Callithrix jacchus: one gene and its partner. The protein of the gene in region 1 interacts with the protein of each later gene in a pairwise test. Links are inferred from orthologs where the notes say so. Each region holds a gene or a part of one and is shown on either strand. Other genes may lie near its edges.

Region 1 (3,821 bases):
TTATAGGAGACACTTAGTTGTGCATACATTCACAAAGTTCTAAAAAATGTTAAAAATCTTTATTTGAAAATTTCATATAGGCATTCAAAGTACACAGGTTCATTGAATAGGAGACTTTACATCTCCAATGGTTCGGCAGCAGCTGTGTGTGGCTTCCTTACTTCAAGATCTGCCTTGATCAGAGAAACTAAGCCAAGGTTTATTTGGTTTTAATGTCTAGGACAGTGGTTAAGTTTCAAGTTCAGCAGGTAAACTTAGCTCATTTTTGGAGGCATTTTTTAAGTATAAAAAGTCTGCTATATTATTTGGGAGAACTGTACAGTTCAGGTTTGAACATTTCAATGTATTTAAAATTTACCTAAAAATGTAAAAATAACAATCAAATAGGAGAGGTAGGGAATCCATAGAGGTAATAAATAAAAAAAGAATAGAAGAATGCTGATAACTGTTAGAGCTGAGCGATGGAAGTTCATTATATATTCTGTTTACTTTGTATATATTAAAACTTTTCCAGAATTAAGTCTGCTATGTCAAACAGGGATTTTTTCCTATTTTAAAAATTAAAAAATTTTTTTCTGACTAAACATTAACTTTTACGTATTATTTACGTTGTTTACTCCAAATTTATTTTCATCCTTCTTAAACAGAACATCCCAAACCTATAACCTTCAGGTTCTAATTAATCCAGAGGATTAGATAAAATGTATTCTATTGATCCTGATGATAATCCTTACATCATACTAAGTATGTACGCTCTTAAACCTCTCAAATTTATATAATGTTTAAATTGTTGTGCCTACGTTGAAAAAAATCATCACCTTTAAAACTGAAGCAGAGTTATTCTAAAAATGTTTTTAAGCATACACAATATTTTTCATTGCTACGTATTTTTTATCAGGAAGAACTCTTAATTACTTTGAAGTCTCCAGTGGCATAAAAATCAGAGTCACACTTAAAAGGTTCATTAGAAAGAGTCACATAAATATTCCCATTATCTACTGTCACTGTATGAATCCTTTGCTTTATTCCTTTGGAGCACCACTTGGGTTTTGCTGATGGATCTTTAGGGTTTATAGACTGGTACAGACCTTCTCCTGTTGCCAAAGTAATTTTGTATTTATGCCAGGGGCAAACTATACACGGTCGTCCATCAAAATCCTGGGGAAGAAAATAACTCATTAAAATTCTGACATGTCAAGTTCTTGATACATCATAGACTCTGAACAGAATCTGCTGCAGAAGAACCAGGTTAAAAAACAGGTTAGCTTCTCTTTTTTCCTCCTATTTACAAATTATTCAGCATAAGCAGAACCTAATCTGAGAATAGTCATCAAGTTATTTTGCAGTTGATTAGAAAGCCAGTTAGAGCTCTATCAGAAGACTGACATGCTCAGGCAACTAAACCATGTGACTGCAGCTGTGCTGTTATCTATTAGGTGTTTACGTGCCTCCTTGATAGAAATGGGGCAAGGACGTCAAGTGCCTCTATAGGAATTTTCACTAGCTGCTAGAAGAATTGTAAGGTCTAGATATAAATTCTAAAGGAGTTACTAAAGGCATGGGTGCATATGATAACAGAAAAGCAATCTGTGATCCAAGGTAGTTAATTCCCAACTTTTTTTTTTTTTTTTTTTTTTTGAGACGGAGTTTCGCTCTTGTTACCCAGGCTGGAGTGCAATGGCGCGATCTCGGCTCACCGCAACCTCCGCCTCCTGGGTTCAGGCAATTCTCCTGCCTCAGCCTCCTGAGTAGCTGGGATTACAGGCACGCGCCACCATGCCCAGCTAATTTTTTGCATTTTTAGTAGAGACGGGGTTTCACCAAATTGACCAGGATGGTCTCGATCTCTTGACCTCGTGATCTACCCGCCTCGGCCTCCCAAAGTGCTGGGATTACAGGCTTGAGCCACCGCGCCCAGCCGATTCCCAACTTTTTAACTGTCTTAGTGAAGTGTTTCTTATACTTTAAAAAACATGGGAATCACTTGTATCTTGTTTAAATGCATGCCTCTCTGTTTAAATGCAGTAACTCTAAGGGGTTGGGGAACTCTAAGGGAAACGATTCTGAATGTCCAAGAAGCTCCCATGTGACACCAAGGTTGCTGGTCTATGGACAACACTAAGTAGCAAGGTCTTCAAACTCTCATTATGGACTGAAACTGGGAAAAATTCTATGAAACTATTATCAGCTTACAAACGTAAGTGGGTGCTTTCATTTTCCCCTCTATCACCAAAAGTGCAGGAATACTGATTTGTACTTTCATAAAACTGTCAGCATTCACATTTTCATAATTTAAACATACATATGTGGGCTTGGACAATGGGAAAAATAGAAAAAATAAACACATATGTTCTTTAACATGAGGACAGTATGTACACTCATCAAGTGTAGAGAGTGCGGAATGCTAAGTTCAAGCTTCTACTTTGCATCAGTTAGAGCGAGACCAATTTCATAAAGTAAGAAACAAGAAACTGAGTGACTAGTTTTGGAATCCAAGGAAGCAAAGACAGTTTCCCCTATTCCTCCTCGGTTAAGACTTCAAAGTGTGGTTTACTTCTTTAAAAATATATTTATACTGTATATTTTTGTTATAAAGTAACATATACTCATTGTAAAAGATTCAAATTATGCAGAATGTATAAAGTAAAAAGTGAATATTCTGGTTGATTAAAAATGGGATCTCATAAGAAATATTATCTTATGATTTGCTTTTTTCAGTCATAAATACATTGTTCACATCTCTCCATACTCATACAGATCTTCCTCATTAATTTAATGATTGCATGGCACAGTTATTCCATAGCATGGCTGTACCATAATTTATTTAACCAATTTTCTATTGTTAAAACATTTAGGTTGCCTTCAATTATTCATTATAATAAATAATGCTACACTGAATCATTCCTATATAAATACTTAAACATCAGTGCAATTATGGCCATAGAATATGGAGTATAATTGCTAGGTCAAAAGATATGCATATTTCTCATATTTATCTTATGAATTCCCAAAATACTTGAAATCATATTCAAACCAGTGAAATATAGTTCAAACCAATTAAGTTATTTATGAATAAATAATGAAATAAGAATATAAATAGAAAACATCTGAATTTGCTGAAAATAAATTTACATACCTCTATATCTCCCAAATGTAAAGGTCCTCCTGAGTCTGAAATGGAATTGAATATTACATGTAGTCACTAAAAAAATGAAATTTTTATGCTTTTATGGTTTAAAGTTTTTTTTTTTTTTTTTTTGAGATGGAGTTTTGCTCGTTACCCAGGCTGGAGTGCAATGGCACAATCTCAGCTCACCGCAACCTCCGCCTCCTGGGTTCAGGCAATTCTCCTGTCTCAGCCTCCTGAGTAGCTGGGATTACAGGCACGCGCCACCATGCCCAGCTAATTTTTTGCATTTTTAGTAGAGACGGGGTTTCACCAAATTGACCAGGATGGTCTCGATCTCTTGACCTCGTGATCCACCCGCCTCGGCCTCCCATAGTGCTGGGATTACAGGCTTGAGCCACCGCGCCCGGCCCCTATGGTTTAAAGTTTTACAAATGAAAAATAAAATCTTACGGTAACAGCGAATATCCATGGCATGATATTCTCCCCTGTGGTAGAAAATGACCACTTCTCTATCATGGACAACAGCTGTCATTCTTTCAGATTTTTTAATGTCATCTTCTCTGCCAACACAGACAGAAGAATATTCCCTCTTTTCAGGATCTTGTGCAGAGCCATCAAGATTCATGCTAGCCGAACATAAAGAAGGAAAGTTGCAAGAAGTATTCACTAATTTGGTTCCAACTTAATAAAG
Region 2 (3,907 bases), on another chromosome or scaffold:
CCGAGGCAGGAGAATCGCTTGAACCCGGGAGGCAGAGGTTGCAGTGAGCCGAGATCGTGCCATTGCACTCCAGCCTGGTGACTCAGCAAGACTGTCTCAAAACAAACAAACAAAATATTTGGTAGGTGAAAGAAACCACATGTTACACGACCCCATCGATATGCGATATCCACTACAGCGCAATCCATAGGAACCAACGGCAGATGAGTGGCACCCGGCCGGGGATACCGTTAAGGAGCACAGATTGGCGTCTGGGATGATGAAAAAGCTCTGACCTAGACAGTGGTGATGGCTGCATTAAACTGTAAATAGTCTGGCAATTTATGTCGACTTTTATCACGGTGTTTTTAACAAAAAGCTCTAAGGTGGTACAGCAGAGTGAGCGCTGCACACGTATTTACTATTATTGGGTTACATTCCAGGCACTCAGTAAACTTCACTGCCCTGAAGAAACACCTGCTGTGAGTCAGGCACCCGACGGTTGTTACCTGTTTAATTCTGACAATCTGAGAAGAAACTATTACCCTCATTTTATGATAAATGAGTAAATAAATCCCAGCAAGCATCACAGTAGATTCAAGAGGCGGAATAAACTTATTTCCAGTGCGAAATCCATGCCGAAATTGAGAGTTGTAGTAATATATATGGCCTGGTGCAGTGGCTCACGCCTGTCATCCCAGCACTTCGGGAGGTCAGGCGGGCAGATCACCTGAGGTCGGGGGTTCGAGATCAGCCTGGCTAAGATGGTGAAACGCCGTCTCTACTAAAAATACAAAATTAGCTGGGCGTGGTGGCGCTCACCCGTAATCCCAGCTACTGAGATGCTGAGGCAGGAGAATCGCTTGGACCATGGAAGTTGCAGTGACCAGTGAGCCGGAATCACGCCACTGCACTCCAGCCTGGGCGCCAGAGCGAGATTCCATCTCCAAAAACAATAATTATATATTTATGTATGTATATGATTATTATATATTTCTCTAATACGTATAAGCACGCTCCACTATGCCCGGCTACTTTAAATTTTTTTTTTGTAAATATGCGGCTTCCCTATGTTGCTCAGGCCGGTAAATATTATTTTCCATATGGTGAACCCCTAAAACGGGGGGCCTTGGATTTAGGGCGATTCAGAGGGCCCCGGTCGGCACCGACGGAGATTGAGCGCGCAGGGACCAGGGACAAGGCCGTGGACCCCAGGGAGGAGAGGCTGCAGCGCGGCGCCCCCTGGAGGCCGCGGGACCCCGTGCGGGTCGGCGCAGGCGCGGCGGGTTCGGGCGCGGGGATGGCGCTGTCCGCGGAGGACCGGGCGCTGCTGCGCGCCCTGTGGAAAAAGCTGGGCAGCAACGTCGGCGTGTACACGACAGAGGCCCTGGAGAGGTGCGGCGGGGCTGGGCGCCCCCGCCCCCCGGGGCCCTTCCTCCCCAGGCCCCCCGGACGCGCCTCACGCCCGCTCCTCTCGTAGGACCTTCCTGGCCTTCCCCGCCACCAAGACCTACTTCTGTCACCTGGACCTGAGCCCCGGCTCCGCGCAGGTCAGAGCGCACGGCCAGAAGGTGGCGGACGCGCTGAGCCTCGCGGTGGAACGCCTGGACGACCTACCCCGCGCGCTGTCCGCGCTGAGCCACCTGCACGCGCGCCAGCTGCGAGTGGACCCGGCCAGCTTCCAGGTGAGCGGCGGCCCGGCTAGGCCCCTGTCCCCGGGAGGGCCCCCCGCGGGGCGGGTGCGGGCGACTGAGCCTCGCGCGCCCCCTGCAGCTCCTCGGCCACTGCCTGCTGGTGACCCTCGCCCGGCATTACCCCGGAGACTTCAGCCCCGCGCTGCAGGCGTCGCTGCACAAGTTCCTGAGCCACGTGGCCTCGGCGCTGGCTTCCGAGTACCAGTGAACTACGGGTGGGTGGCCGCGGGACCCCCAGGCGACCCTCCCCGTGTGAGTAAAGCCCCCGAGGCTCACTCTTCCTGCCGTGCTCTCTCTCTCTCGGGGGCTGGACGTAGTGAGGGAAAGGCGCCGTCCCTCCCCAAGGAGAGGCCGGGGGCGCGCTCCCAGTGTCCAGATCCAGGCGCGCCCCGTCCCACCCCCGACAGGTTTGAGGTCTCCGCCAACGGGGCACTGACCTGGGTACAGGCTGACCCTCCTGGTTGGGGTGGCAGGTGGGGACCGCGGGCCGCGAGGGCGTCCTCCCCACTCGGGACCAAGTACGTGGCCCGGGCCCACCGCGAGAACTCCGCACCTCCAGCCTCAGCGCGCGGGGCAGCCTCGGAGCACGTTAGGGAACAGCGCCCTCTCCCGGCGCCGGCCGGCACCTGCGCCGCGCGCAGCCCGTTAGCGGCGCCGCGGGACTGGGGATGGCGGGGGCAGGTTGTGGCGAAGTCCTTTTACTGCCAGGGCCTGGGGCTGGGCCTGGGGGAGGAGGTGCGACCAACCCCAGTACCTAGTCACATAGGAGCCGGCCCGCAGCCCCGCCTTCGCCCACACTACTATGGAGAGGGAAGCTAGGCCTTCTTTGTTCTATTCGCCCCGTAACCAATCGTGGTCATTGCAGAACTTCCCAACACAACGCCTGCTGCGCCTTCCTGTGCATCGCAGGCCCAGGAGCGGGTGCAGCACATCCTTCTGTTCCCACGTGACACGCGGCACACTGTGTCATGTGTAGACAAGAACAGGACACGGCTGTCAGAGCCAAGAGCACGTGTGACACAGGCATTCCACGCCCACACACGCGGCAGACGGCCCACACAGAGCCGTCACATTTAACGCGCATCCTGCCTAACATAGTGAAACCCTGTCTCTACAAGACTACGATTAGCCGGGCCTGGCGGCATGTGCCTGTGGTCCCAGCTACTTGGGAGGCTGGGGCGGGAGAACTGCGTGATCTTGGGAGGGAGTCTGCAGTGAGCGAAGCGTGCAGTTGCACTCCAGTCTGGGCAGCTGGTCCACAGAAACAAGTCAATCGTCAGTATGACAGCATCTGTCATTGCCCTCTCCTGCATGTGCACCACCCGTTGCGTCCTTGGCCTGTTTTCCCACTGTGGTGTTGCCCAAAGGAGCATTTATTCTGTGGACCTGTAGACCTGCAGTCCATCTTACATCATGTTTATTTATTTATTTTTTTTTGAGTCGAAGTTTTGTCACACAGGCTGGAGTGCAATGGTGTGATCTCAGCTCACTGCAACTGCTGCACCTCTGCACCCGGAGTAAGCACTTGGAGCCCAAGAGGCTCAGGGCCCCTGGGGAAGCCCCAGGCTCTGACTCCTTTAAGTAGGCATGGTCACCTACTTGGGCCTGGGTTACATCTGGAGCATCAATGAAGTTGGGAGAGCCAGACCCCATCCTTTCTGGAGACGTGGGGTTGGACAGAGCTGGCCCTGGCTCAAGGGCTCAGACCACTTGGTACAGAAGCCACCCAGAGGTGCAGATCTGAGGAGCAGCTGTGGGCTCTCCACACTGTTGGGGAGCCTCACAGACCCACTCAAGTCCAGGAAAGATTGCCTCCCAGTTCAGCCTCCCAAGTAGCTGGGATTACAGGCATGCGCCACCATTCCCAGCTAATTTTGTATTTTTAATAGAGATGGGGTTTTGTCATGTTGGTCGGGCTGGTCTCGAACTCCCGACCTCAGGTGATCCACCAGCCTCAGCCTCCCAAAGTGCTGGGCTTAGAGGCTCGAGCCACCCTGCCCAGCCTGCACTCTGCTGTTTTTTGTTTTGTTTTAGGCAGAGTCTCCCACTGTCACCTAGGCTGGAGTGCAGTGGTGCAATGCTGGCTCACTGCAACTTCCACTTCCTAGGTTCAAGTGATTCTCCTGCCTCAGCCTCCCAAGTAGCTGGGATTACAGGCACACACCACCATGGCCAGCTAATTTTTATATTTTCAGTAAAGACGGGGTTTCAGCCAGGTGTGGTGGCTCATGCCT

The links.
Region 2: the proteins of RFESD (region 1) and HBQ1 interact in binary tests that used the Homo sapiens proteins (3 or more experiments, as listed by UniProt). The two-hybrid records come from large-scale screens. The link is inferred for Callithrix jacchus from reciprocal best matches to the Homo sapiens genes RFESD and HBQ1.

The regions. Positions count from the first base shown.
Region 1 is NC_133503.1:114,920,588-114,924,408, forward strand, and holds the end of RFESD (Rieske domain-containing protein), read right to left. Parts: intron 3,757-3,821; coding exon 3,581-3,756; intron 3,172-3,580; coding exon 3,137-3,171; intron 1,159-3,136; coding exon 895-1,158; 3' UTR 43-894; downstream 1-42.
Region 2 is NC_133513.1:2,457,608-2,461,514, forward strand, and holds HBQ1 (hemoglobin subunit theta-1), read left to right. Parts: upstream 1-1,252; 5' UTR 1,253-1,279; coding exon 1,280-1,374; intron 1,375-1,459; coding exon 1,460-1,664; intron 1,665-1,752; coding exon 1,753-1,881; 3' UTR 1,882-3,101; downstream 3,102-3,907.